Rattus norvegicus: one gene and its partner. The protein of the gene in region 2 interacts with the protein of the main gene of each other region in a biochemical or structural test. Links are inferred from orthologs where the notes say so. Each region holds a gene or a part of one and is shown on either strand. Other genes may lie near its edges.

Region 1 (3,956 bases), on a different chromosome or scaffold from region 2:
AAAGGCATCTATAACCACTTTAGGTCTGGATTTCCATTTTGAAACAGGTACCTCCTGGACCATGCTGACTTTGAACTCCTGATCCTCCTGCCTCCACCTCCCAAGTGCTGGGATGACAGACAAGTGAGCTCCACTGAGCTGGGTTTACGTAGTGCTCAACTGAACTCTGGGCTTTGAGCGTGCTAGGCAAACCACTCCACCAGCTGAACTCAGTTCCCCAGCCCCATCGTGTTTAAGACAGGGTATCACTCTGTGGGCTTTACCTCTCAGTGATCCTCCTGCCTCAGCTACCAGAAGGTTGGTATGTGCCAACGCGCCTGGTTTGTACCAATTATCCACCCCAACTGAGCCATATCCATGCAGAAGCTGGCAGTGTGCAAGTCTTCTGGCCTTTAACAAGTGACTTTAAGTTCTGATCACTATTTATCTGCTTTCCAAAACTCTGATCCCAGTTAGATTGCATTTTCTGGGTAGTAGCTGCAGCCTGGCCTGGGGCCAGGGATAGAGTGATCCTTCCTTGCTAGACCTGCAGCACAGGGAGCTTTTCTAATGCTGAGGTGGTTGAGTCTCCTACCATTGTGAGAGGAGAAGCCCCCTCACAGGCAGCCAGCCAGGATCTGCCTGATAATCCGCAGCTCCTCCCCCCATGCCCGGGACCAAGCCCACACCCTGTGGGTGGCCGGAAATGAGTGCTGTAGGAAGCTGTCCCTGATCCTCATCCCCAGTACCAGAATATTCCTAGTCCCTAGGCTTGAGGTATCAGTTGCAGTCTCCTAGACTGGTGCCACAGCCCCTTGGGGAGCCTACATGGCTCAATAAAACACAGGCTGTGTCTGCCTATGCATGCCGAGGTCACTGACCTGCAGGTGGAGACTGTTGGCAGATAAGGCTCTGATAACAGGCTAATTCCAAGAACCCATTGCTCCTGCCCTGGCTGATGGCACTAGGACAGAGCCACCACACGACAGGGGCCATGTTCCATGAAAACTGTGTAGATAAACATGGGATGTATTTCTCTTGGAGAATTCATATGGACAACTGGCCACTACCCTTTTTTTAATATAGGAACAATGGATTGTGGGGTTTCTATTTTTTAAAAAGGAGAGTTGGTGATGAACTATGCCCACCGGATCCAGGACAACACTGGAATTGGGGGTCAAAGCTCCCGTGGGCCTTCCTATACTATTTACATTAGTGCAGAATGGGGGTCGGACCCCCTGCTCAGCACCCTTGTCATAAATAACGGGAAGACACTGGCAGGAGATTTGCTTGGGTCTGGGTCAGCTTTCAGCCAGGCAGAGGACCTCCTCCTTTCTCTGCAGAATCCTTTCTCTCTTTCCTCTCTTTGTGGTCTTTTCATGTAGCTAAATCAACCTCAGTGCTGCAAACAATTTTGAGACTCTTAAACAGAAGGACGAAAAGGTTGAGTCCTGTAGCTATCCTCATAGGGGGTCCCAGCTTCTCCCAGGAGCCCAGAGCTAGATGGGAGGCCTCGGCCAAGGGACCTCACACAGCCTCTGCTAGTACCCCCAGAGGTAGGGCTGAAGGCTTCTTTTAACACCCAGCCTCTGTCCCTACAAAGCACTAGCCCACATACTTCAAGTCTCTGGATTTCAGGGGTTACCTGATTGTGGCCAGCACGCCTCACCCCAATTACCCGAGGCCCCAAGCAGGTGAGCATCTTGGGGACTTTCTAAAGTATTTCTAAATTTTACATCACACTGTGTACCTAGGACATAAAGATCCTTCCTTTTTTTTGTTGTTGTTTGTTTGTTTTGTTTTTTGTTTTCTTTTTAACTTGAGGGAGAGGAGAAAACCGAGGACCACACACGCAAAGCCTGGAGATGAAAAACGGAAGAGGCAGGTTTTCCGGTTCAATATCAAAGGGACCGAAAGCTGAATGGGACTTAGCAGCCAGCCCAGCCTTTGGAGGATTAGACAGCTCCACTGACCTCCCCATTTCCCCGCTGCCGCCTGGGGCCATCACTTTGCGCAGGGCGGGCAAGAGTAACATTAGCCTCACTATCATTGGTACCTTGCCTCAAGTTCCTTTAGGGCCTGAACAGGAGGTGAAAAAAAAAAAAAACAAATATGGACCCAGCGCGGCCCGGAGCATCCCGCCGCGTGGAGGAACACTCACCAGCCCGTATATCTTGCCGTCGGCGCTCATGCAGAGGTACCGCACGCTGCTGACGTCCTTGATGGCAATTGTCTTCAGAGCAACCGCGCGGAACTCCAACAGATCTGCAAGAGAAGGAAAAAGTTGCCTGGGCCCAGCAACACGTGGGTACAGCGGCGTCACACTGCCTCGTCCTTCCCCAGCTTAGTCTAGAAGTCAGGGGTGGGAGGATGTTAAAGCCACGGTGACATATCCACGTGCTCCTAGATCCTAAGGGACTCGAGGGGACACGCTGGTGGATACTCACTTCGTTCGTTCTGGTCCTCCTCGCAGTCCACAGAGCCGTCACTCCGGATACGCAGGAAGCAGTTGGAGACGTAGGGACCAGCAGAGTACAGGTACTGCAGGCGGGTAATCTTGCCCCAGCCATAGAGAAAGAGTGGACCTTCATCCGACACAGACTGGGATTGCTGGACCAGGGGACGCCCAGACACGGCCAGCCACAGAGTGGCCAGGACCAGAGCTCGGGCCACAATACGCCCACTCCACTTTCTCGCCATGGCACCTCGGGGTCGTGAAGGCAGCTACAAAGGTGGCGCGGAGACTGCGACGCGGCAGGGACTCGCAAGGCAGGCACAGCCCACAAAGCAATCGGGCGCTTGCAGCGCGGGGCGCTGCTGCTTCGACGGCGTTGCGGCTCCGGGCACGCGGCCTTATATACGTTTCGTCCCTCTGGCCCGGGTGTAGGTGACCGCAGTAGCAAGGCAGTCCTCCTAATTGCATCAAGTCTCCGCCCCCCGCACACACCCATTCAGCCCCATCCCAGTGACCCCGCCCAGGCAGGCCAGATCTAGCAGTGGAGGAGCCCCCTTTGTGACCAAGGCCGGGGGTGGGGTGGGGGGAGTGTTAAATGCACAGTGTCTTGATGGTTATTGAATAGGCTATTTTAATGTTACGATTAATTACTGAGGTCTTAAGGCCCTGGGCTTTCAGAGGGCTGCGCTTGGGACGGTCATTAGAGACTTAGAAGGCACGCAGAGCTCTGCCTCCGTACCCCCCACCCCCGTTTTGAGTCTTGGGTCTCTTCTTTGGCACGCTCTCGCAGATCGGATCCTCCCACATTCTCCAGCCCCAGACCTAGGCTCCCTATTCATGGATATTTGCCCTACACAGTGAAGACATAGTGGGAGTGTGTCGCGCTCACTAGGTGGCGCTTCAGCCCCAGTTTCGGCCTCCACTGTGCTGCCAGCTGCTCTCTGTGCGTCCTCTGCTTGCCTCGCGCGTGGACTCCACAAGGCGAGAGTCACTGGGGCTGTGACTTTGAGAAGGATGAGCTGACCAGCGCGCAGAGGCAGGGCAGGGGAGGTCGCGGCGTCCCCTCTTGGGTCGGTGATCAGGCCCTTGAGTCTGCGCGCGGGGGACAGCTGCGTACCGGTGAGGAGGGGGCCAGCTAGGAGCAACGGTGGACGCTGCTGGCGGTGGGTCAGGTGGGAGGAGAATGGGGGCCTCTCCTTGAGCCGCTCTTGCAAAGAAAGGAGGCAGCCTGCAGAGAATTCCCCGGCCTGGAAGAAAGGGTCCTCGCAGGGGGCTTTGGTTCAGCGCGTAGCCTTTCTCATTATGCCTCCAATCCCCCAACTCCTGGGTGTGCCCCCCCCCCCAAGCTGGTTTGGGGAAAGAGGTACTGGCCTAGCTCCGTGGTGATGGGAGGTCTGTCTGCAGGGGCCGGACAACAGAAAAATGGCAGGTCTGATGAATCTCAATGAGGAACACGCCACTTTCAGACGCCATCAGTGACTGGCATAAATGACGGAGCTCTGGGAGAATGTCACCAGGAAAG
Region 2 (2,614 bases):
CATTCTCTCCACCCGAGGGCAAGCATGGTGTAGGCGTGGGCTCTGAACAAACCGTGCTTCTTTCTTTTTCTCTTTCTGGGCCTGGGGATTCAGCCCGGGCCTCTGCCCATTCCATTTCTCATCAGTTCGGGGGTTGAGTGACTCTGGCCCCTGGGCTTGCTGTGAAACGTTGAACTCCCAGACGTGTGTCCTGATTGATACTCCCTACCCTGTCCTCAGTGCATCCACCGGGACCTGGCTGCCCGAAACGTGCTGGTGACCGAGGATGACGTGATGAAGATCGCTGACTTTGGTCTGGCCCGTGGTGTCCACCACATCGACTACTATAAGAAAACCAGCAATGTGAGGGGCACCGCGGAGACACATGGGAGTGGGGCGGGGACTAGACCTGGTCTAAAAGGGATAGGTCCTGTACTACTCACACCACTGTCCCCTCCTCCTTCCTCCAGGGCCGCCTGCCAGTCAAGTGGATGGCTCCTGAGGCGTTGTTTGACCGTGTATACACACACCAGAGTGACGTGTGAGTCCGGGAACTGGGTTCTAAGATGGCTGCTGGATATCTTCAAGTTGTCCATCCCCTCTAAAAGGGCAATGCGCTTGCCAAAGTCATAAGATCTTAGGAGTTCCTCTGATACTCCTAAGGAAAGGAGTGCCCCTCCCTATCCCCAAGGGTGCATCGCGACTGCAGTAGCCTTTACCACAGCTTCAATGAGGAAGGAAGGAAGCTGGGCCCCACTGAGCTGCAGTTCTACCTCCAGGTGGTCCTTCGGGATCCTGCTGTGGGAAATCTTCACCCTCGGGGGCTCCCCATACCCCGGCATCCCAGTGGAGGAGCTGTTCTCACTGCTGCGAGAGGGGCACAGGATGGAGCGGCCCCCAAACTGCCCCTCAGAGCTGTAAGGTCACCCTCCTTGCCCCAGTGTCCAGACCTCATCCTGGGTCCTGACTTTGATGTCAGCTTTGACCCTGGCCATAGAGCAGTACTGTCTCCACTCCGGTTCCCTCTTCTTCCTCTCCACGGCTCACGGTGCCCTGGTCTTGTTCCTACTCTCCCATTAACCTGCCCTGCTTCTCCTGCCCAGCCCCCACACCCGCCGTGCCCGGAGCCCCAACCCTAGGGAGCCCACAGTCCTCACTTTGCCCGCCCTAGACATAAGTTTCTTTGACCCGTTCCCAGGTATGGGCTAATGAGGGAGTGTTGGCACGCAGCTCCTTCTCAGAGGCCGACTTTTAAGCAGCTGGTGGAAGCTCTGGACAAGGTCCTGCTGGCTGTCTCTGAAGAGGTACTGCCCATCCCCGCCCCATGCCCTCTCTCTGCCCGATCCCATGACCTAGGGACCTGACCATCTGAAGCATCCAGTCCCAGAGGCTGGAAGTTGAGCAGCTCTGTTCCTTGCAGTACCTTGACCTCCGCCTGACCTTTGGACCCTATTCCCCCAACAATGGGGATGCCAGCAGCACGTGCTCCTCCAGCGACTCGGTTTTCAGCCACGACCCTTTGCCCCTCGAGCCAAGCCCCTTCCCATTTCCTGAGGCGCAGACCACATGAGCCTGGGAACGATGTTGCATGGGCTCGTAGGCCCGTGGCCGTGGGACTCCAACCTGTTTCATCAGCATTTGACGTTGGCACTGTCATCAGGCCTCTGACTCGAGGCTACTGCTGGCCCAGATCCTCTCTCTGGCCCTGTTTTGGGGAGGCCCATTCTTGGTCTTGGGGTTCACAGTTGAGGCCTTCTGTTCCAAACTTATGTTCCCAGCTCAGAGTTCAACTCCTCGTCTCAAGATCATGGTCGTGCCCTTGGACTCATCCTCAAAGGAGCGAAGCATTAAGGCCTTGACACTTAGCCTCCACCCCAGGGGCTCTCCGGGCCTGACTGCAAATCTTTGGTCCTAAACATTTCTAGCTCCCCAAACAACCTAGAGGCCTCGGGACTTCACTGCACCCCCGCCCCCGCAGCCCACAAGCCTCGCCACCCTGGTCCCCAACTCCCCACTGCTTGTTCTAGCATCTTGTTGAAGGAGCCTCAGCTCTGGTGTCCTTGAGAGACGAGAAGCCTGTGGAAAAGACAGAAGAACAAGGCATTTTATAAATTATTATTATTTTTTGAAATAACTCTCTGTATGCCTGGTGTCTTCCCTGAGTGGCAGGGCGGATCGTGGGAAGACTCTCCATGTTGGGAGTTCGGTCTGGGTTACCCAGACGACTGGGGCGGGGGCGGGTGCCAGGCAGGCCTACAGCGGGCTTCCGCCTCCAGCCGTGCTAGCGCAGACTCCCAGGCAGAAACACACCCTTGCCTTTGTCCGTCCTACAGAATCAACCTTGTGTGTGCAGCGGTGAGTGGGTGCTCATGGGCAGACGAGCCCACACTGCACCATCTGTAAGGCAGGCCCCGTATCCTCTGTACACGCATACATGTTTGGCCCACAACTGTCCCCGAGGGAGCTGGCGTCCCCTCCCCCATCTGCTCAGCATTAACCAAACTGACCGTTAACACAGCACGGAAACGTGAAATCAAGCCTCCAGCCACTGCCTGCTCCCACGGTCTGGATCCGCCGGCTCAGGCTCAGGGCTTGTGGGGGCCGTGCCCGCCCTGCCTGGCCCTGGCCAGTCTCC

Evidence for each region.
Region 1: the proteins of Fgfr4 (region 2) and Fgf19 form a complex in vitro, tested with the Homo sapiens proteins (2 studies listed by BioGRID and IntAct). The link is inferred for Rattus norvegicus from reciprocal best matches to the Homo sapiens genes FGFR4 and FGF19.

The regions. Positions count from the first base shown.
Region 1 is NC_086019.1:209,484,666-209,488,621, reverse strand, and holds the start of Fgf19 (fibroblast growth factor 19 precursor), read right to left. Parts: upstream 2,810-3,956; 5' UTR 2,680-2,809; coding exon 2,427-2,679; intron 2,245-2,426; coding exon 2,141-2,244; intron 1-2,140. UniProt on the Homo sapiens protein: Involved in the suppression of bile acid biosynthesis through down-regulation of CYP7A1 expression, following positive regulation of the JNK and ERK1/2 cascades. Stimulates glucose uptake in adipocytes. Activity requires the presence of KLB and FGFR4.
Region 2 is NC_086035.1:9,466,185-9,468,798, reverse strand, and holds the end of Fgfr4 (fibroblast growth factor receptor 4 precursor), read left to right. Parts: intron 1-219; coding exon 220-342; intron 343-449; coding exon 450-520; intron 521-758; coding exon 759-896; intron 897-1,177; coding exon 1,178-1,283; intron 1,284-1,399; coding exon 1,400-1,549; 3' UTR 1,550-2,113; downstream 2,114-2,614. UniProt on the Homo sapiens protein: Tyrosine-protein kinase that acts as a cell-surface receptor for fibroblast growth factors and plays a role in the regulation of cell proliferation, differentiation and migration, and in regulation of lipid metabolism, bile acid biosynthesis, glucose uptake, vitamin D metabolism and phosphate homeostasis.